Xenopus tropicalis: one gene and its partners. The protein of the gene in region 5 interacts with the protein of the main gene of each other region in a pairwise test. Links are inferred from orthologs where the notes say so. Each region holds a gene or a part of one and is shown on either strand. Other genes may lie near its edges.

Region 1 (3,500 bases), on a different chromosome or scaffold from region 5:
GGCTGTATTTACATAGACCTTTCTAATAAAGCTTACTTAGTTTTTACCTTTCCTTCTCCTTTAAGGGGAAAACAAATTTTTATTGTTGGCAGTGGAATTAAAAAAAAAAAAAAAAAAAAACTAATTTGGAAAATGTTTTTAGTGATTTAGGCAGTTCTAATTTGGAAACTTGTCCGAAGGTGAAAAACCCCAATAATTGAAAGCTAAACATAATGACATACCTTCAGAATTTAAGGTGATCAGGGTGACATTGTTGCCCATATTTGGGTTTCCTGAATTACCGCAATTAGACAGTGTATCACTAGCCTCAGAACCACTGTCATTGTCATCATCATTGTGGCTGTCCTCAGGGGCAGGAACTTTCACTACAATTGTGTTGTGTCTTCTTCCAGGAACTGCACTGAAATGTAGAGTAATATTTTTTTTTTAAAAAACTCCCATACTATAGCAACACAATAAGCAACAAATATTGTACTATAAAAACTTGATAGCAAAACTAAGAAAAGTTCATATTTGTTGTCATAGCAACATGCAGAATAACTACACCCATCATCACCTTTGTAATAATACTGTAAACAAAAAAGCTTAAAAGCTGTATTAAAAGCTGTAATATGTACAGGGTGACATAAAATGTTTTGTATTACTAAAAAAAAAGATTAAAAACATTAAATATTGTTAGAAGTGGTTGGGAGAAAAGCCATCAGGTTACATTTTGAATTAATATCATTTCATACAGTGGCAACATAATAATTAGCAACGATTGCTCATCCTTTACATCACACTCTGCCTTGTGAACACCGATACATTGGTGCTGCATGAATGTAGAGAAATCAGTACTTCCCCAAAAATGCATTTTTCTGCATGCAACATTGTTTCATAGATAGTCACAAATCAAGAGTATTTTAAGTGAATCCAATTTAAAGGGAAGATTTAATAAAAAGAGATAGAGAAAACTAAAACAAGATTTATATCCTGCAGGGCTAAATAATACCTTTGAATTGCCCCTAATCAATCTCTCTCAAGAATCATTGGCTACAATGAAGATGAAGGAGATAAAGAGTCACAAGTAATGTGTTGGACTGGGCCGCCGGAGCACTAGGAAAAAACCCAGTGGGCCCTGGCAAGCCAGACTTGATCCCAGCAGGGTGCACCACTAATCCGCCAGTTTAATTTAGGCACGATTGATTGGTAAAACTGTTTTGTCTATTAAAGGGGTGGTTCAACTTTAAGTTAATTTTTAGTTACAAAATGACCTAATCCTAGCAACTTTGCAACTGGTTTTCATTGTCTATTTTTTATAGCCTTTTTAATAATTAACCTTCCTCTTCTGACAGTTTTTAAGTGGTGGTCACAGACCCTAAAGGTGGCCATACACGCTAAGATCCGCTCACTGGGCGATCAAGATTTGGCCGATTTCCGGCCAGATGTTGGTCGGGCAGGCCCGTCGTTAATGGCCATACACGAGCCGATAAACTGCCGAAACGGTCTAAGGGACGAATATAGGCAGCTAGAATTGGCCCGTGTATGGCCACCTTAACAGTCTAAAACTATTAGTTATTTTTACTAATAAACTAAGTTTAAGTAACTTTAAGTTTTAATAACTATTTTACATTTAGTTGATTGTTCACAGTAACACTCTTCAATACAGAGCAAATTCCATATTTAGAAGGAATCCACAGTTTAATACACAGGATTTAATTATCTTCATTAATTTTCTTTAAAAAATGCAGTAAAAAGGCTTTAATAATGAGTTTTTAGAAAAAGGGGGCATAACATTCCTGCTCTGAAAACCTTATTTACATATTAAGCAGCCATATTGCTTACCTAAGCAGATGAGTACCTGTAAAAGGAGCAAAAGAACAAAACTACAATTATAGCAAGAGGTGCTTTGTAAGAGGACATTGCCAGACAAGAAACAGATGGGACAGAAACAATTTCCCACTCCTCTTACCAAAGTAGATATAGTTGACCTCAATTATCATAGTCATTTGTGAAGAAATAGGTTATTTACACTTATAATAAAGATGCATGTTAAAAAAAAAAAAACTAACTATGGTTAGATTCATCTTTTGGTGTCGGGGGAGGCTAGAAGATAAATAATAAACTATTACCTATTCAGCATGTTTTCAAGGGTTTCTGTTGAACTGTTTATAGACTCTTCGCGACCCTCCAGTTTAGTCACACCTGGGGTTTGTCTTTCACTGTTCAGTATTACTGTAGTCTGCGGTACAACACTAAAAAAAGAAACAGACATTTTAAGTGGTTTTAATGTCACAGGGTCCAAATACTTTAAGCTATTGGTAATGAAGTAAACATTTTACTAGAAATCCATATTTACATAGACGAAAAGGGACAAAAATGCTACTGCAAATATTCATCAAATGTTGCATGCTTTTATATAATTAAATGGTGAAGATTTTTCATATTTAAAAAAAAACAAAAAAAGCCATTCTGCTCTGTTTTATATGCATTCAACTAGGATGTCAACCATTTACAGTCATCATTCAGCTTGACACAGAATAGTCTGTGAGTATGTACAAAAGAATGCTGGTTATAAGAGTGATAGAGCCTAGGTACATACACAAATGGTCACAAATTAGAAGCCAACAAGTTACACAAACAATCTATTTCTCCTTTAATCTGGACTAACACAAGAGTAAAAGGTTAGTTTTAGAAGATTTCAGTAGTTATTTTATTACTCAAAAAGAGACACTTTCAACAAAACCCATACAGCCAGCAAATGGTTTTGGTTTCAATATTTTGCCAAAAATACTTAGTAAGAATTTAGTTTTTCAAGTGCAAATTTAAATATTCTTACTTTTTCTTATGGTAAGAGAAGCCTAGTTGAGTAATCAGCTTTTTCAGTAAATGCTAAGTTTTTTTTTCCAGCCTGTGAATATCCTTCCTGTGTGTCCAGGTCTGATGACCAAGTTTGCGAATGGGAAACCTTGTTTCATCAGCTTCATCGCAGAAGTCTTGAAACCAAAACTTTGACTGCATTTTTTTTCTTAGTTTCAGTGCAGTTTAATTTACACATTACACATTTTCAAAGTCCTATAAAACTACTAATATTCCTAGCCTGTGCCAAATGGTGCTTCATAAAGGCAGGATAATGAGTTATCATCAATTCTCTGCATGTCACAGCGGGATCAGGTGATTTACACCACTAATTGGCATGTAAACAAAAGAAAAGGACAGATCAAAAAGTTAGCACTATATTACAAGTACTAGATTCAACATTTTCACCATTTTTGAAAGAGACATAAGCTGCCACTTACAGGGTTAGACAGATGCTATCATTTTTAACTTGCATTTTCTAATAAAAAATATAAAACAATTAATGCTTTATTATTTAACCCTACCTAAACTAAGCTCATGGTTATGGCTTTGACTGAGTTGGCTCTCTGTCTGTGGCTGGAGGGCTATAATCTTACCATCTCATCCACAGCCTTTCTATTGTTATGGTTCCCTAATAAGAAGCTGTAAGATGCAAAGCCTAG
Region 2 (4,272 bases), on a different chromosome or scaffold from region 5:
TACAACTGCTCCTATTAACACTGGAGAACCCTGGCAACAGAATTTCCAGCTTCTCACAGCAGTTTGAGTCAATAGATACACCACACTTGTACCCAATGAATCAGATGCAAATGCTGTTTTGAAAGTGCACTCCAGAAGTAATGTAACTTTAAAAATGTTAGATGCAACTTTCACCCCATTTGCATCAAAAGCAAGCCCAGTTGCATCTGTTTTGACCCATTGGGCACAACTTTAAGCATTATGGGTAAAAGAGATGGCAATTTTGGGTCCAAAGTTGCACTTTGCACACTGTATTTGTGTTCATAAATCTACCCTTTAGATTGAACAATGCTTGCTGTTTTGAATTTTCTTGGAACTATGGCTGAAATACCAATTTTTAAGATAAGGTGCAGAGAAAGTCACATAACCACATCACAAAGGGAAGTGACACATGGTGAGACTAGTTGACCACGGTTAAATCTTGGCTACTGCAGAAAACGTATGCCTTTTAACCATTAAATCGCTTTTTTGATGGTAGGAAGGCATTTTGGGTAGATTAATCACCTGCAGTAGCCAAGATTTAACCGGGGGCAACTAATCTCATTGGGTGCCATTGCCCAAAAGGTAAAAATCACATTGTAATAACACTCCAAAAATCAGACCCCAGAAGACAATCTGTTCTGAAGGAAGTTTATCCAACACCAGCAACTTGAAAAGCTCCGAAACTTGTTTTTCAGAAAGCTCTAAATTACGTGCTCCCATTATACGACTCCATTATAAGCAAATCATTCTCATGTTTAAAAATGATTTTTTTTTTCCCTGTAATAATAAAACAGAACCTTGTACTTGACGGTAAGTAAGCTACATGAATCCATATTGATGGCAAAACTATCTTATTGGGTTTCTTTAATGTTTACATGCTTTTAGCAGATATAAGGTATAGAGATCCAAATTACAGAATGGCCCCTTATCCAAAAAATCCTGTAATAATTTATCAGTTTTGGCAGTCTTACTAGCCAACCTGCTATTTGATCTCTTCAGTCAATTAGCCTGTCAGTCGCAAACTGGTAGTTTTTATTTTTTATGCAATTTGTTTTCTACTTAATTCAAATATTACTGCTGTCTGTAACATACTTTAAGTACATTTCTAGAGGGAACATACCCTTTAAACACAAATGTTTAATGTGTCCCTGAATGGCATACTTCTGGTTGCCCAGATTCTGAAGCTTTTTAAAAATTCCTGACCTTTAAGCAATGAGTAATAAATTAAATAATTTGCCAATCTACTCATCTCTCAAGGAGCCATGTTCTTGTTATGGTGTACAATGCATGCATTAGATAGATGCATTCAACAGAATGGAAAGGATAACAAGAACAGAAATACAGCATGACCCTTGCATGGAATTCTGTAATTAATGCCATGGTTTAGGAAATTAAAGTAATGCAAGCTCACTGTTTTACAAGTTTTTTGGAACTTTTGCAGAACCATATACTTACCATTGCAATGTCAGTTGAGTCTGCTTCTTTTTATCCTTAATGATCTGAGTGATGGATTTCCTCTGTGATATTTTATTGGTTAGCAAAGCATTTTTATTATAAATAATATCTAAATCCTCATCTTCTGATGAAAACATCTCATTGGAGAGGTCCATTTCTTGCGGCCAGCAGTTAGAGATCAACATATTAAAAAGGGGGGAAAAGGTAAAAGGACAGAATAATTAATAAAAATCCCAATTTTGCACTTATGGTGAAGTGCTTTTATTGTTGACTATGTTTTGTTAATACACATACAGTGATATCAGCATATCACTTCATTTACAGCTGATCCGGTGCTGAAAACTCCCTATCTGATCCACACTGACATGACAACATACTCAAAAAACTGGGAAAGGCACATGTAATGTGTAGCACAGGCTTGTGGAATAATCCCCTTCTTTACTCTGCCCCTGCTAAAGTATGATAAAGCAATGTGCACCCTCTTGTAAAATATCAGGACATCAGACATCCCATGCATGATATGTTTTACAATAGGGGGGCATTATTCACTATATATATATGTTACTACCACAGCTTTGCCTATTGTACTCCCAGCATGGGGCTGGGAGAGAGAAAACAGGAGAGAAACAGGTAATGGAGAGAGAAACAGGTAATAGTATGCATCCACGAGAAAAAATAATATTTTTTATGATAAAAAGCTTATCATTTACTGTATATTCTGCTTGGGATATCAGGGATGTCAATGTTAATGTAATAGACAATTTAAATTTGTTCCTACCTGTTTTTATGCCCAGACTCACAGATGAGTCTTCCTCTTCTGGTGTTAGCATAATGTCTTCCTGTGCTTGTTCACAGAGATCTTCTTGTGGATATGAAAGTAAATCCTTCCCTACCATAGTTCCATAACAATCCTCCATCCCTGAGGCTGTTTTTGGTAAGGGTTCTCCATTTTGGAAGGGGCAGTCACCTTCTTGTGTCTCTGAAAATCTTTCAATTGGCATGTCACCAGGTTCAGGCAATGCCCATGCAACCATCAAAAAAGGCTGAAAAAGTTTCTGTTAAAAAAAACCATGTCCCAGGAGAACCAAAATGTGATGTTTAGGTAAGATGAAAAATGTAATATTTCAATGTAATATTACAATATATAATTGTGCTGAAAGGAACTTCACAGAATTCAAGGACACTTTTCCCCCAGTCCAGGTGAAAAGTGGTCTGACATCATTTGAGTTATTTTAAGGCAAGCCCATAATCACACCCATTTGTTGGCACAGATCTGCTGTCAAATTAAGGGCAGTTTATCATCAGCTTGATGGTTCTTCCTCATTCATCTGCTTTTATTTTGACAAAGCAAAAAAGTGACTAAGAGGTAGTGTTATTTAATGTGGAAGTGACGTAACAGTAATGAATTGGGTTATCTGCGCTCTTGCAGGGGTAAAAAAATGGTGGTGTCTACATCAAACCCATTAATGATTAACAGTCCCAACAATTGGATCTGATTGTGGGAGTCAAAGTGATGTTTGTTTATTATGTGCTTCCATATCTAAAGCTGCACGCGTGAAGCAATGATTAAACCTTTACTTTTTGACAGAATCAATAATGAAAATGATCATGCGGAGTATTTATCTTACAATTGTCTGCTTGGGCAAACAAGAGGAGAACGCAGCTAAAGCATATAACACATGTTCTAAATGGAAATCCAGTTCAGAATCAGGTGACACTGGGAGATATATGGGTTAGTCTTACGCTACATTATAAACCATATATATATATATATATATATATATATATATATATATATATATATATAAAGTTCCATCAGGTAGGCACTCACGAAAAATGAAGAATCCATTGCCTGGGTGGAGTCCTTGGTTTAATGTATAGATACTTGTAGAAAAAACGGGCCGCTCCACACAGGGCTTATAGTGAACAAAAATTATTAATTGAAGCAAATAACAAAGACTGAAGTTTCGACTGGTACACCAGCCTTGAGGACCAGTTCCTGTGTGAAAATCCCTGTGAGTGCCGTCATTTCTCTCTTATCTGCACTAGCACCCAGGTAGCATCCAATATTAATGGTGTGCAGCTTACTGACTGTTTGCATCTATATATACATATATGTGTGTGTGTCTATTTCAATTTTTTCTCTTAATTCTGTGCTTTGTCAGTGTGAGTCATAGTAACTAGCAAACTATTGACCCCAACCTAAAGTCTAAGAAAAAGAAAAAAAGAGTCTTTTATGGTAGTGCGATACGTTTTTTTGCGTTAAAATAGACGTGACAATAAGCGCGTGATTCACTACAGTATTACCGCGTGCGTTAAGTCGCATATCGCATGCGTTAATTTTCGTGCAACCGCATGCGTTAGTTTTAACGCATGCATTAATTAGCGCGCTGAAAATAATGCTAACGCATGATTCACAAACACTTAGGCGCGCTAAATATCACATTAGGCTATGCGAAAAATAAGACCTACTTGGGGCAGGCGATACTTAAAGGAAATTGTGGTTCGTGAGCTTTTGGCAACACAATATGGACTTTGCAGTGGCATTTATTCAAGTCTGTGTTGGCCCTAGAGTGATGCAGCCTCCAGTTTGCAGGGAAATGGTCATTTTTAATCCAGTAATTTTACGAAAGTATTGGCGTGTATGGCTAACATGGCGTGTGTTTATTCGCACGACTATTTATATGCGGCTACAATTGATGAAATGTTTCACCAGGCATGGCTTTGTGGCGAGTTTTTGGATGTGTGGCGAATTTTTACGCGGCAAATTTTTTCATGCTTTTCACAAAACAATCC
Region 3 (3,500 bases), on a different chromosome or scaffold from region 5:
TGCCACAGGTTTAGTCAATTATGTAAACTAATTTTAACATAGAATTTACTGGTCACATGGTTAAAAAAGAACATTTATTTTTACTTTATTTTGACATTATTTAGGGTTTCTTATGTGAAAATTCAAGTAAAATATTTGTAAAATATTTGTGGCACATCCTTCTTTAAATGGATCACATTTTCAGATATATGTTTTAATGGAAACCCCAGTCATGTTAGAATTGTATATTCTATGTACATCACAGATCAGGGCATTATCATAGTTCATGTTAAAAATCTTTCTCAATTTAAAGAAACAGTCAGGGTATCATAGATTAATATTCAGCGACTTTTTTTACATGCTACTAGCAAGATTAGAATCCAGGAAGAACCTAACAGCATTGACTGTGGGTAAATAGAAGCAAAAGTACAACCATTCAGGAAAGCTAATTACTATTAGTACTCGGCATATCATTTGTACAGTTTGGGTGACTGTAGAAAAACCTATTATTAATCTCTTCATCAGATGTTACTAGAGCAAGAAGGTGAAAGGTACAACAATGAATAGACTTCCGTTAACACACTGTGTAACCAGAATGGAATATAGGCCTTTATACAAGAGCAATGGACCAGACCCACAATATTTATATGTTCCTATAGCCTTTTAAATAGTTTTACTAGTAGAAATGTTGATTTAAAATGGAGACATTTCCTTCAACCGTGAATCTATTTTAAATGTGAGATTCAATCCATTCTGCATACTGTTCCTTTGTCTTTCTTATTTTTGTTCATAATTCCTGCATAGCATTCCCTTTCATTAACCCTCACATTAATCTTTCTCTTTTCAATCTTCATCAATATTTCATCCTTTACATGTGATATGGAACTTGCCTTCATGGAACTGTACATGATACTACAGTGATATTAATGGCTGCAAGTGATCAATTACAAAGTATTTCAGAGTATAAACACTTACACTGGTCCCTAGAGATAAACTGAGGTACGCTGTTCAGCTGAGGTGTGCTGGGATTTGGGGTGCCTACAAGCTTGCTCTTGGCCATCTTTGTGTTTGCCTTTGCAAACTCAAGGCGTAGCGTCTGAGGAATTTCTGGATCAAATCTGATTCCCTAAAAAACAACAAATAGTAAAACATTTTTTACTCCAAACAGAATGTTGTACATTGATCAGAGCATGATAAACAAGACATCATTGCAAATGAAAACACTTTATAGAAGAGCATACCCTGTTTATAATTAGTATTTACATTGATTTATTATTGCCAGCTGCAATCAGGTGTAAATTGGTTAGTGAAATGCTGTTAAATGGATGCAACTTGCAGTTGAGTGGGAAGAGGTACAGTAGATGAGGAGAGGGATGGAAAGAGAATTGAAAATGGCAGAGGTAGAAAAGAAATGACTTAAGTTTGGGCTGAAGTAAAACACTGTTCTAAAATAAATGAAATTCTGATTTCAACTTATTGTAATGTGTGTTTATATGTGTTACACTTACAGAAGTAGTAAATGAACATTTTCTTGACATTGAACACATTCTGGGACTTTACCCTTTGTCAGTTTAGGTTATACTCTGTGTTTCATGTGATACTTCTAGGCATAAATGTATAGATTTTTCAATTCAAGGATCCCTGCATGTCTCGTCTACAGATTTATACACTGCATCTTGGCTGCACTAATTAAACAAAACAATAAATAATAAAACTCTTACCCTTTCTTGGAAATCTGTTTAGAGGCTTACATATTAAAGAATAGCTCAAACAAGTCTTAGACTTGTGGGAACAATTTAATTACAGCAACAATAAGAAACTGTTCTTAATGGACCTTGAGGCACATTTACTAAATAATACCTTATAAGGGGATACAGAGAAATTAGGAAAACATAGCTGGAAATGTACTGTTTAGCCAATTATTGCAGGAGAAATACATAAATAACTTTAAAGAGACAACAAGTAAATGCCATTTTATTCTTATATTAAAAACATGCAAAAAAATTGGTAAAGCCTGAAAGTTAAAGCTGCCTAGAGCTACTTTAGAAAAAGTAATTTTATACTGATGTTCTGTAACTTTCACAGATTAAATTGCAACTACCATGCAGTCATTATAATAAACATCAGTGCAATCATTCAGGTCAGTGCAGGATTTCACCACCAAAGCTGTGAGACAAATCTAGATGACCCTATAGTCAGATCATAAGAGGCCCATGCAGCGCTGTCTAGGGTGGTCCTCACCCAAGGTGGGTTTCAGCATTATCAACTGACAAAAAAAGTCCCAATCGGCCGTGGATAATAATGACCATAATTCTGGCACCAGGCATGGGACAACAAGCTGCTCAGTAGACAATAACAGAGCATGAACGGCCATCTATCTATACATTAAGGGCAATTTTAAATTTTTTCCTGATTATTTGTACATAGTTAACACAACTTTTTGACCTTGGCCCTCACACTGTTTCTATCTAGCATTTATAAATGTATTTACATATATCTGTAAAACATAGGTGGAGAATAAAAAAGGTTGGTGTGACCCGGATAAAAGCACTCTGCCTGAGGCCTCATGTTTTTATATGGTCTTGTAACTCCTCAGTGACTTCTAATATTTTAATAAATTACAATAGGGGGTACATTATCCACTATACAGTATATACACACTACAACAGACAGGTATGAATTTGCCAGAGGAATTAGCCAAGTTGACCCTCTATGCTTTGTTTTGGCACACTCCTGCCCACCAGTCTTGTATACCCTAATAAGGCGACCACAGATTTGTGAAGATAGTATAGAAGAACCAATAGTCAACTCTGTAACTAAAAATTATTAAAGGTTTGTTTATTACAGGTTTACCAATACTGATCAAACTGTAGTATTTAAAATGTAATGTAATGCTTATACAACTATGCCAAATCAAGCACGATATACATAATAGTCACTTAGACAAAGAGTTAGAGCATATGCTCTTAGGAAAGGATATAAGCCCCATTTTTATTCAGAGGATCTTAATAAATGTATTCCTCTGTAATTATCCATAAAAAACACAACCACTTTTTTTTTGGTTTTGCAGTGACTGTACTTTTATGCATAAACATTCATAGGCACTAGGTATAACTAAGTAGTTTAGAGGGGATTACCTGTTCCATCTTGAAAAGCAAGGTCTGTGCCCAGTTCTCTGGGAACCTAGTAACATCCTACTCCTCTAAGGATCTACAGTAGCAGTAGCCACTAGCAGAGTCCAAAGCTTTGTCTGTTACTTTGAACTTACAGGAACTAGCTGACTCCTCAATCCCTAAATAAGGATGTATGGTTATGATGAAAGTGAAGATGATTAAGCACATGAATACAGTAAAACCACATCCCCATATATAAAGTTTTCCCACATTTTACAGTTTTTTTTCAGTATGAATTATTATTGGTTCCATCAATAACAATACACACTGCATTTCCCTGATTTTGCAATTTCACAGATTTTACACATTTTTCTGATCCCCTGTAATATATATATATAATTGGTGCTT
Region 4 (4,036 bases), on a different chromosome or scaffold from region 5:
CCATGCCATTACTATGATGAACTCGTCTCTAGGTCTCACCTCATCATCATTATATTCATATTCGGAGTCAGAACTGTCTTCCTCTTCACTCTCTGGAAGGTACTGCAAATTCTTGTGTGTCACTTCAACCAGCTGTTGTTGAATCAGCATGTTATTTCTGCCCCATGTGAGCTGGCACGGAGAGTAGCCTTGGTACGTGACTCTGTTTACATCTGCTCCGTGCTTAAGCAGCAGTTTCATCAGGTCGTAGTTCTGCAGGTCCACGGCCATATGCAGCACAGTGCGACCATTGCAAGGCTCCTGTGGTGAGGGAAACAGAAATTTCTCTTAGATCTAGAGGCAAAATTGAATCCAATAGACATGGCAGGAAGAAACATCAGTATGTAGCCAAGTGAAGTAGGGGGAATACTGACCTGGGCATTTATATCAGCCCCCTTATTAATGAGATTTTCCACAATTGCAAGATAGCCATGGATCGATGCCAGGTGGAGGCACGTGTGACCTGCATCGGAAAGAAAGATATTAGCAAGGCAGTTCTAATTCTAATTTGCCAAGTAGCACAACAACACACGTCTAAAGGTTTATAGATTAAGTTTGATACATACCATCATAGTTCACAGATTGCAGAAGTGCTGGCAGTTGTTTCTCACAATACTGGAAAATGACCCCAACTCCCCGAAGCGAGCCCTGCTTGCAGGCAATGTGCAAGGCGGTGTTGCCACAGAAGTCTTGGATTTCTGGATCACAACCAGCCTGGAGAAGTGACTGGCTGATGTCTTGTTGTTCGGTGATTACTGCCAGATGTAGTGCTGTCTGCAGAAAAGACATTAAAAAAAAAAAGAAAAATCAGTAAATTCATTCTCATTAAACACAAAATTGAACTTGCAGAATAAGCTTGTACTATATTCTATCCCTCATGAACATGCTATGAGTGCACTGACTATTAATATTTTAAGTGCTGGCCAACTTACATGTCATAGGTCAATTATTCCACAAACTGGCCCTCTATTATACTTTATATGTTAAAATTCCTTTGGAGGGCCACATCCGGCCCACGGGCCTCCAGTTGGACAGCCCTGCCCTAACCGACAATGGTGGCACATGACAAGCTAATCTAGAAATAAAGTTTTTACAAGGTTTAGAAAAAAAATAAAAAGTAAATTACCTGGTGCAGATTATTCTGCTTGTTCAGGTAAAAATGGTCCCTGTATGAACGTTGGATTGCCTCCTTCACCAGGGTTTTCTCTTCATGGATAATTGCCAAATGGAGAAACCTAGAAGGGAACATAAAAAGGACATGTTAAAATAGAGAAGCAAATTTGTGTCATTTAACCATAAAAAAAGAAAAGATGAACTAGCAGGTTTATGGGAAATGACAAACTAGCTTTCCAATCTTAGCATCTTATTACAAAATGTCATTTCTGTATTTACTATTTCATCATTCAGAAGTAGAAAATGTACCCCCCCCTCCCCTTTGGGAACCAGTAAGTGAAGTGGTGTTAAGGTTCAGTGTGTGGGAAAGATCGAGGTGAATAAAACTTCATAAATTTAGAAACTGCCAAGCAATAGGAAATAATAATTCATAATGAACCTATTTCATCATAGCGGCATGTCGGTGAGCTGCAATACTAGTCAGTGGTGACACAAGTGTGTACTTCCCCCTCCCCCAGCCAACTATGCAATTGTGTAAGTCTGGGGATTTTTTCTTCTCTAGATCTGTCTGTTGTTTTCCGCTTTCTGCTGTGAGTGTGAGAGTGTGTGTGTGTGCAGTTGTGTTCCTGGCTACTGGCCAGGGACTTTCCAAAGCCAGAGTCCTGCCCCTGGGTGCCTGCCAGCCCCCACCCCTCTGAGGCAGCAAGTCAGAGAACAAGGTGTCCTCCCACCCCCCCTCCCTCCAGCTCACACGAAGAAGGGAAAACCCAGACAGATATGGCGTCTCTTCTGCACCAACAAAAAAATTCCCCTACCAAGAACAAACATGCACCAAGCCATCTAACAGCTGCCCGGCGTTGCTGCATGCTTGCAAATACCAATGCATGATATAAAAAAAGCATTAAAAGCACAAGGGTTTTTAACTATTTGCACAACTTACTAATACTGCATGTTTATGGTTGCATGAAAAAGCTGCACAATAAATTGCAGTGTTATGCAGTGTAGCCTGCCCCATGCACCTAACTGTGCATTCACCATAAAGAAGTCATGCATTAGTAAATATCTACATATCCTACACTAAACACTGCCCCAAACCTAGGTGTCCCTGTTATATATATATATATATTAGTGCAGCACTATAGAGTACTATCCCTTTATCAGTATATACACTGTGCAAGGCAGATGTAATGGTTTTAGATGTACTAATACTAAGGTTCATCGCCCCTATACAATATCAGTAGATACTGAGCACAATCCCCAGCCATATAACGAACCCATTCTCTATCACTTACGTGTCTCCATCTTCGTTGACCTCTTTCTTCCATGGCTCCGGCTCATAGTTCGATGTGTCCGGCGGGCCCTCCATTCTCATGTTGCTGAGGTCAGTAATGATAGCCGTGTATTCCTCCTCCTTCAGGGAGTCCAGGCCGCTATCAATGCGATCGTCCTGCAGCAGTTTGTCCTTCCGGAGATCCCTAGCTTCTCCCTCCATCATATTCCCTTGGTAATCGTGAAAAGGCACAGACATGGCGGCGGCCGGTTGTTGAGCTTCCCCGCAAAATAGCTTAGAAGACACTGTAGAATCCCAGTTGCGATAGTGAAGTTCTGTAGCTGTAGCCTCCTCTATACTAATCCCATCCGATCAGAGCGACTTCTGGTAGCGATCTGGCAGCTCCCTCCCCCAGCAGGCTACTTTTACATATACAGCCGGGGTTTTTTCTGGGTGGAGCCGAGCTCAGTTTCCTACTTGTGAACTATTATGTACTCTGGGAAATTCCAAGAATAAGTCAGTATAGGAACACAATGAACCTGACGGAGCCAGTTCTGTGGTACAATAAAAGGAAGAGCGCAGAAATATGTACAAGGCTCAGAAATTCCCTTTTTTCAGACGTGCGCAGCTACTCCATGTACATTCCTCTCAGCACACTCACCATTCCTGGGACACACTGGGGGGATTCGGGCAAAAATACACATTAGTTCCCCACATCATACTCGGCATTTATATGCGTTAAATATACCTTCGTCTGACAGACTATTGATATTATGCTAAATACATAAGAGCTCAACGTCCGGGGAGCCATTTGCATTTTGCACCTTAACCCACACACACAACCGACTTGCACCTAATGATTGATGCTAATGCCATTTTGTTTTATTTCAGCAACTTCCAGAAACGAGGGGTTTACAAACAATGCAACTTTCGCGCAATGTTCCCCAAAAGGCTGCAAAAATTGCGTCATAAGCAGCAAGATTACACTGGGATTCTGGGGAATAACGTTGCATTGTGGGTGAAACATGGAATTTTGCACTCTTTTGTGCATTGTAGTAAGGCTTTCCCACTGGAAAGAAATACAGGTCTTCCTAAATTTTCATCTCTCTACCCAGTTAACATTGGGATATTGCAGTATTTTAACTGGTCAGGCCAGTATAATAACCTCCAGGTGGCAATCCTAATTGCAGTTTGCATTTGCTTTAAAAAAAACATAAGCCCCTTTGTGCATTATTGTTGGGATGAAATGAGATTGTATGAATTTAATAGTTATTATTTTTATAACGATAATAGTTTCAGGTACCTTGCTTAGGTGAAATAACTTAATTGCCATTTGCCGAAGGTTATCTGTCCGTAATTCTTGTGTGGGAATAAAAGTAGTAAACCAAAAACATCATGGAATACTTTGACTATACTATTGTGCGCTCTGCACTAGTGATGTGCCCAGGCCCGGGCCTAGGGCGGCATAAACATAGGGGCGGCATGCTGCCCCGCCGCACGCAAATTTCAAAATTTTGCTCCCATACGGAGCAATGGGGACCTCTCCCCACTGCTCTGTATGGGAGTTTTAACTTTGGCGCATGCGCATTAGCGCGGCGGCAGGGGAGGAGGAGG
Region 5 (4,037 bases):
AGAGAAACAGCATGTCCTATTACTGCTTGATTTGCTGCTGACAGGCAGTCATTAAGATTGCACAAAGGGGCTGCATTCTTATTATGGAAAGGCAAGTTAATCAGAGCAGCACCTATAGGGACCCAAGAGTGCAGGGGGGCACAGTGTAGCCCTGCCATTTCTAACAATTTTTTTATTTGAATATTTGAATGTAAAATTGGTGAGTTTCCTTTAAGGTTTGGGGTGGGGGTCATGCAATTATTTTGCTATGGGACCTATAACACTGCAACCCCAAGTAAGTTGCCAAAAAAACCTTATGTACCAATTACGATTAGGTATTGTAAACAAATCCTTCAGGTCTAATATAAGCACATTAGAATACTGGTTTAATTCAGCTGGCTTACTGTGCCAGAGGAGAGCTAACAACACCCACTAGAAACACTGTCAGGCTCAGGGAGATTTATGCATTCTACATTAAAATGCTAGATTCCTCTTTATGCAGCCTGTTGCTACATGTGAATTCTGACCTAGCAAAGTTCACAAGTCTCTAGGCAATGGCAGTACATGCATTAATAATTAAAAATGTTTGTTTCCCCTGAGAGTGGAGTGATTCTTTCTTGTGGACTGTGGTACATACAGATTATCCACAAATGTACACTTTATTTCTGGAGTTAAGGTGGCCATACACCAGCAGATCCGCTCGCTTGGCGATGTCGCCAAGCGAGCGGATCTTCCCCCGATATCCCCACCTACGGGTGGGCGATATCGGGGAGCATTTAGGTTAAAAAAAAAATAATCCAATCGTTTGGCCCTGGGGCCAAACGATCGGATTATGTGGGCGGCAATGGGGCAGTCGGATCGGGGACCGCATAAACGAGCCGATGCGGTCCCCAATCCGACCGGATTTTCTAACCTGGCCGATCGAGATCTGGCCAATTTCAGGCCAGATCTCGGTCGGCCAGGCCGCTCTGCTCTCCCCATACACGGGCCAATTAGCTGCCGAATCGGTCCAAGGGACCGATATCGGCAGCTATAGTCGGCCCGTGTATGGGGACCTTTAGCAACAACTGGAGGGCCAGAGGTTGGCAATTCTTAAAATTATAACTATAAATCAGGAGTTACACAGTGTATGTCATTTGTATTTTTCACTTATAATGTTTTCTGTTCAAGGGGTCTATTCTTAGGTTACCCTCTCTGCCCTGCTCTAAATACAGCAGTGGATGAGGTTTAGGGAGTGACAGATAATTGCTGTTATATCCTAATGCAGCTCTCGCTCTGTAAGAGGCTGTTTTTATAAAGGCTGTTTAGGAACTATAATATATTATATAATTATGATGTCATACAAAAAGGGGCTATAATATATAATATAATTATTATGTCATACAAAGAGACTGATGGAACCTTGTAGCAGATTAGGGGCTATAATAAAGTCACATTTAGGACCACATACAGCTTATGGGTCTCAAGGACGACAGTGCTAAGGCATTTTAGACATTAAGAATAGGGTATGCAAAGAAACAAGAATGTGTGCTGTACAAAGAAAGGTCAGAAATGAGCAATACATGTTTCCCAAGGTATTGCTGAACTGCAGCTGAACTGCAACTCCCATAATGCTTAGAGTCACTCTAAAGATGGTATGAGCTGTGACCCAGCAACAGCTGGCTGCTACAATTTCAACATTCAGAACCACTGTGTTTTAAAACAAGGAATCATTGAGCATAAATAAAAGAAGTACTACATCCCACGCACTAAATACAATTTTACTAGAAGCTAAAAATAATCACTTCTAATCAAAGGAACACACAGGGAAAAAACACAAGACATTGTCGTAGGATTACAGTAGCAACAGGTCACCCAGACACCATCACAGTGTGGGGAAAATCATTTCTACTGAAAAAAACTGGGAGAAAATCATTTCTACTGAAAAAAACTGGGAGAAAATAAATGGGATACAATGCATTAGAGTATCTGCCTATTTATTATCCTGTGCCATTTTCTGTATGAAAAGTTCTGAATAGAGAAAGCCTTTGGTCTTGTTAGCATTCACATGAAGGCTTGATGCCTGCAGCGACCATCTCTGGGGCTGGAGTTGTGGCACACAATGAGGGGTTAACCTTTGCCATAATGCCTCATTAAAAAGTCAGACTGCAATCCCTCATTCCCCAAAACACTGCTGGGAGGCATCCAGAGCTGTATCATTAATGAAGAGCAATAACCAGGGCTTGGAGCCTCTCAAATGAGACACTACTGTCTGCTCTGGATTAGTGTGTCCTGTTGGAAGAGAATATAAAGCAGTCTGGCAGTCTCCACCAGCAGTTAAACGCCCTCCCTGCACAGTAAATTTACCATGCAAAATAAGGTCTTGTCTGGGAGAAAGACACATTTTTCCTTAAATTTCACAAAGCCTTAAGTCTAGAGTAAGTCTAGGGAATGTACATGCTCATTAACATGAATATCCTGTGTAATGGAGCCTGCTCACAGCATTATACCCAACTATATACATTGTGGCAGTACATGCAGAATTTACATGTACACGTTGCAGCAGGCAGACAGCAAAGAAAAAGGCTAAATCAGCTACATACAGTTTAGCTATGAACTCACCTTGTACTTCATTCTTGCTGGATCTCCTCTGGGTCCACTTGATAGTTACAGAATCCACATTGGAGAGTTTAAAGCCCAGCGCTAACTCCAGACCAAGGTGTTAGAGTGCGTGGCAGCTATAAGTGGATTTCAAGCAGAAGCAGCAGCAGCAAGCAGACTTCACTGTGGGACCATACAGACCTATCTGAGAGCTGTTTGGGTTTGCTGAGCACAAGCTGGGACAGCTATTTGCATATGGCCTCCCATTAGCCAGGAAGGCTGAAATGAGAACGTGTCACATACTGCTGTTCCCGCCCCTTTAGTGTACTCTGAGCCCAGCAGGCTGAGAGTGTATTGTGTGTGTGCTCATGTCTATATCAGGATTGAGCTTGATTTGCAAGAAATGCCATGTAAAAAAAGAAACTGACTCACATTGCTGCATTGCTTTGACCTGGCAGCAGTCGGAACTTGACATTTTACTTTGAAGCCTAGGAATACAGTATCTCAATAGAAATACTTTGGTTGGGGGCAAAGGTTTGTGGCAAAGGGGTGTGTCTTCCTGCCCGTTCTGACTAGATATATTGTTTATGCTCACTTCGAAACCTCATATATATCCTAGGAACCAATCCTTTTGGAATTTAGATTGAAGGAACTATTGTTGCCCCACAGCAATATTTTGGGGAATGAGGGTGTGCAGTCGGATTTTTTAAAAAGGCTTTATGGCATTAACCCCTCATTGTGTGCCGCAGCTCCAGTGCCAGAGGCATCCAGTGCTACAGGCATCAAGCCATTCATGTAATAAAATAGAGACTAAAGGTGGTCATACACTTTCAGATCCGCTCGCTTGGCGATGTCGCCAAGCGTCCGGATCTTCTACCGATATCCCCCACCTACGGGAGGGCGATATCAGGAGAATCCAGGCTAATTGGGCCAAACGATCGAATTATAACGACGGGTATAGGCAAAGTCAGTTCGGGGACCGCATTAATGAGCTGATGCGGTCCCTGATCCGACTAAATTTTTTAACCTGCCAGATTTCAGGCCAGATATCAGTTGGGCAGGCCCGTCGTTAGTGCCCCTACACGGGCCGATAAGCTGCCAAATTGGTCTAAGGGGCCGATATCGGCAGCTAGAATTGGCCGTGTAGAATCGGCCACCTTAACCTAGAGGCATCTAACAGCAGCCCCTCTGGCATTTGCCAGAATCTACTGATTGCCAGTCTGGTTCTTATGCTTAGAACTTTTCATACAAACAATGACACAAGATAATAAATAGGCAGATGATGCCTTGTATCCCATTTATTTTCTCCCAGTTTTTTTCAGTGGAAATGATTTTCATTGCCCATGCTGTGATGGTGTCTAGGTGACCTGTTGCAACTGTTATCCTATGACACTATTTTGTGGTTTTCCCACCCTGTGTTTGATTATTTTTAAAGCTTGTAGTAAAATTGTATTTAGTGTGTGGGATGTGGTATTTCT
Region 6 (3,500 bases), on a different chromosome or scaffold from region 5:
CTGGCGTTCTTATAAAACAAGGGTCTACAGTAGCAATGAGCAAATTCGTCTTTCTTCACTTCACTGTAAAATGTGCGAATCTTAGAAAACATTTGCAAGACAGCAAAAAATTCTCGAAACAGCGAAAATGACCCGCGTCAAAAAAATTGTCTCGCAATGTTTTTTACACGTGGCAAATTTTGGAGCCCATTTCATGAAAAAATCTGCCAGTGGCAAAATCCATGCCTGGTGAAAGATTTCACTCATCACTAATTTACAGAATTGGTGTTGGAATGGCTCCACTCAGTAATATCTGTATTATAGTACAATTCAGTTGTGGCCCTGACCTACTCACTGAGGGGACTACCTGGCTGGCAGTAATTGCAGGCTTCCCCTTTTGTCTGTCTGGGAACTATCATGTAGTTCCTCGGAGCAGGTTGGGCATGGCATTGGGGCTGACACAAGTTTTCAGGGGCATGTAATGGTGCAAGAGTAAATGAAGCCTTTGTGAATGACTGGGCAATTTCAGTGCTTTACAAATAAACTCACAATTGTAGATGAGCCTTAATAATAATAATAATAATAATTATAATGTCTTAATAATAATATGTCTGTTTCCATTTCAACAGTTTACGAAATACATTACAAACATGTCTGCAGGCCAGATGAGGGGGTGCCAGCATAGTAATTATATCACCATCAGCATGACGGCTCCCATTCAGAACATGCATACAGCTGTCACACCAAGTACTAAAGTCCTGGATATTAACTGGCTATACCACATTCTTTCTAGGAACAGACACAATAAACAACTACCAGAGCTCATACTGTGTAACTAAACTGTGGACTCATCTGTACATGTTAGTGTTGTCTAACTGGGGTAAAGGTGTTTCATTTATTCAACATACAACCAATAAATAGGAAATACATTAAAATGCATGCACACTATTATATTTTTTAACTAACTCTATCTCCTTATAAAGGAATTGTGTAACTGTTACAGTTTTCATATATTCCTATATACTAGAAAAACACCTTTCAGTTGAAAATAAATCAGAAAATGCTTTAGTGAATTACAGGAAAACTCAAAACCGTGAAAAAAGTGACATTTCTTAAAAAAAATAAAAGTTTCAGAAATTAAAAATATTTACACATGAACCATTCCATTTGCATTTTTAAGTGAAAATGGAATTGGCTGCAGTGTGCAACGTGCAACTTTCTGATAGAATTCACCATGTTTTGTGGTCATAAAGCAGTGTTTTGATCCCTGAATTCCAAGTGCATCTGCCACATTTTCAGTTAGGGTTGCATTACTTTTGGAGCTAAAACAGTATTAGTGCATATGTCTGCTGTTCCTATAAACACAACCTGCTTTGGGAACCCTGGAATAACTGGTATGTTCAGGGTGGCAGTAGCTCCAGGCAGGGCCGGAACAAGGGGTTGGCAGAAGAGGCACCTGCCTAGGGCACCACGGTGGGGGGGCGCCAGGCAAGTACCTCTTCTTTCACTTACCACTAGTTCTGGGCCCATTCCCCCCCCCCCCATTACAGTACTCCCCACAACCCTGCTGCCTTGTGTATGAGCGGGGGGGGGGGTGGCAGTTTGGGGGTATGGGGACAGGATGGGGCGGGGCGCACAGGGTCCAGGGTTCCCTTGTGTAGGGAACTGGTAAATTGTACCTTTTCTAACTCCGTGGTCCCCTAGTATTGGACAGCTACGAAGGGTTGTTAATGTAATGGGAAGTAAGTCCCTTGTTCCTTGGTCATAGCATGACCCCTTGTGCAGTTCCACAGTTTGGCCATTAGGTGGCACTGTGATATAAAAGGCTCAGCAGCCATGAGGCTGGAAGCCATTTTGTGAAGCTCTCTGCCTGAGCAAGCAGGCAGAGAGATACTGTGGAAATCTAGGAATAGGTAGGTTCAGAAAGAATAGCCAGCTCCTGTTATAGATCACACTAGGGGGCACATTTACTAACCCACGAACGGGCCGAATGCGTCCGATTGCGTTTTTTTCGGAATGATCGGTAATTTTGCGATTTTTTTCGGCGTCTTTACGATTTTTGCGTAAAAACGCGAGTTTTTCGGCGTCTTTACGATTTTTGCGTAAAAACGCGAGTTTTTCGTAGCCATTACGAAAGTTGCGCAAAGTCGCGCCTTTTTCGTAGCGTTAAAACTTAAATGGCGCAACGTTTCGCGCAAGTTTTAACGCTACGAAAAAATCGCGACTTTGCGCAACTTTCGTAATGGCTACGAAAAACTCGCGTTTTTACGCAAAAATCGTAAAGATGCCGAAAAACTCGCGTTTTTACGCAAAAATCGTAAAGACGCCGAAAAAATCGCAAAATGTTCGTTTCCAATCGGAATTTTTCCAATTCGGATTCGAAATCGTGTCTTAGTAAATCAGCCCCTAGGTGTGATAGACAGGCAGGGCTATTTAGTGAGCAGCATTTTGGCTCCGACCAGGAATTGTAAAGGGATTATAATCCCGGGTATAATACTGCCCAGAGTAGGGTTAACAGTGTACAGACCTAGGGTTAGATAGTGATCACCCAGGTTCCACTGGAAGCATATACCTGAAAGCTGGGAGTTAACCCATTGTACCCTGCAGCTAAAGGGTTATTCTGACTATGCTGTGTAAGTACTGCCTATGCTGTGAGATGCTACTACCTACCTATTCTATGCTGTAATTACACTATAAGTGGCTGTGTAAATAAACAGTTCATGGTTTCAAGGTTAAGAACCACTGGCGCCCATTTATTGAGAAATACAACAACATATATGCCTGGCCTCCATATAAAGTGAGGGCTCACCCCTGAAGGATACAGTCTCATCCTGGGTAAAATACGGTGTAGCTTGTGGTAATAGAAGGGCTAATTTACTATAAGCTTACACTTGTATCAATAGATAAACTTTGCAAGGTTTAGCAAAAGAGGTGGAATGGATGCAATGGCACTCAGCACACCTATACGGAAGTGTTTGGACATAAGTACGAGTTAAGTAAGAGTTTCTACTTCATTAGTCATTTTTAAAATGAATGCAGATGCTTATTTAGACGAATAGTACAGAATCTACCTATTGTATAATGTGCTTCAGCACATTGTAAGCTTTGGTAATTGATAGATCAGCACAGAGGCATGTACAGCAGTGACTTTAATGTTATTTTGGGGTGTTTGGATCCAGGTATAATTTATTGTTGCAGAGACAATATTGGATTATAGGTGTCACAGAGAACACGGTTACCTTGCAAACTGCCGTCCATGCTCTCCCCTGACATACTGCCACTGCCTTCTTCCACACTGTGGCGCATTGATACAGAGCCACTCTTTGTGTCTAGCTGCAAAGGCATCTCCACAGCCTGGACATATATAAAAAGATAAGAATTAGTGCCTCATATAATATAAATGGATAATAAGAACTTTCTCTCTTCTCCTATTGAAATACATTAAAAATATATTGATCTTTGTGACAAAAGCAATTGTAAAAATATTGTAGAAAAGAAAGAGTTCAATGAATGATTATGTA

What was found.
Region 1: the proteins of nedd9 (region 5) and banp interact in binary tests that used the Homo sapiens proteins (3 or more experiments, as listed by UniProt). The two-hybrid records come from large-scale screens. The link is inferred for Xenopus tropicalis from reciprocal best matches to the Homo sapiens genes NEDD9 and BANP.
Region 2: the proteins of nedd9 (region 5) and rfx6 interact in binary tests that used the Homo sapiens proteins (3 or more experiments, as listed by UniProt). The two-hybrid records come from large-scale screens. The link is inferred for Xenopus tropicalis from reciprocal best matches to the Homo sapiens genes NEDD9 and RFX6.
Region 3: the proteins of nedd9 (region 5) and rbpms interact in binary tests that used the Homo sapiens proteins (3 or more experiments, as listed by UniProt). The two-hybrid records come from large-scale screens. The link is inferred for Xenopus tropicalis from reciprocal best matches to the Homo sapiens genes NEDD9 and RBPMS.
Region 4: the proteins of nedd9 (region 5) and nfkbia interact in binary tests that used the Homo sapiens proteins (3 or more experiments, as listed by UniProt). The two-hybrid records come from large-scale screens. The link is inferred for Xenopus tropicalis from reciprocal best matches to the Homo sapiens genes NEDD9 and NFKBIA.
Region 6: the proteins of nedd9 (region 5) and nab2 interact in binary tests that used the Homo sapiens proteins (3 or more experiments, as listed by UniProt). The two-hybrid records come from large-scale screens. The link is inferred for Xenopus tropicalis from reciprocal best matches to the Homo sapiens genes NEDD9 and NAB2.

What each region holds. Positions count from the first base shown.
Region 1 is NC_030680.2:65,855,095-65,858,594, reverse strand, and holds part of banp (protein BANP), read right to left. Parts: intron 2,235-3,500; coding exon 2,112-2,234; intron 401-2,111; coding exon 222-400; intron 1-221. UniProt on the Homo sapiens protein: Controls V(D)J recombination during T-cell development by repressing T-cell receptor (TCR) beta enhancer function. Binds to scaffold/matrix attachment region beta (S/MARbeta), an ATC-rich DNA sequence located upstream of the TCR beta enhancer.
Region 2 is NC_030681.2:74,672,155-74,676,426, forward strand, and holds the start of rfx6 (DNA-binding protein RFX6), read right to left. Parts: upstream 2,801-4,272; 5' UTR 2,511-2,800; coding exon 2,255-2,510; intron 1,634-2,254; coding exon 1,477-1,633; intron 1-1,476. UniProt on the Homo sapiens protein: Transcription factor required to direct islet cell differentiation during endocrine pancreas development. Specifically required for the differentiation of 4 of the 5 islet cell types and for the production of insulin.
Region 3 is NC_030677.2:83,887,483-83,890,982, forward strand, and holds part of rbpms (RNA-binding protein with multiple splicing), read right to left. Parts: intron 1,106-3,500; coding exon 955-1,105; intron 1-954.
Region 4 is NC_030684.2:109,511,895-109,515,930, forward strand, and holds the start of nfkbia (NF-kappa-B inhibitor alpha), read right to left. Parts: upstream 2,801-4,036; 5' UTR 2,681-2,800; coding exon 2,445-2,680; intron 1,275-2,444; coding exon 1,166-1,274; intron 814-1,165; coding exon 606-813; intron 503-605; coding exon 414-502; intron 301-413; coding exon 40-300; intron 1-39. UniProt on the Homo sapiens protein: Inhibits the activity of dimeric NF-kappa-B/REL complexes by trapping REL (RELA/p65 and NFKB1/p50) dimers in the cytoplasm by masking their nuclear localization signals.
Region 5 is NC_030682.2:90,788,457-90,792,493, forward strand, and holds the start of nedd9 (enhancer of filamentation 1), read right to left. Parts: upstream 2,801-4,037; 5' UTR 2,593-2,800; coding exon 2,581-2,592; intron 1-2,580. UniProt on the Homo sapiens protein: Scaffolding protein which plays a central coordinating role for tyrosine-kinase-based signaling related to cell adhesion. As a focal adhesion protein, plays a role in embryonic fibroblast migration.
Region 6 is NC_030678.2:139,246,424-139,249,923, reverse strand, and holds part of nab2 (NGFI-A-binding protein 2), read right to left. Parts: intron 3,334-3,500; coding exon 3,219-3,333; intron 1-3,218. UniProt on the Homo sapiens protein: Acts as a transcriptional repressor for zinc finger transcription factors EGR1 and EGR2. Isoform 2 lacks repression ability.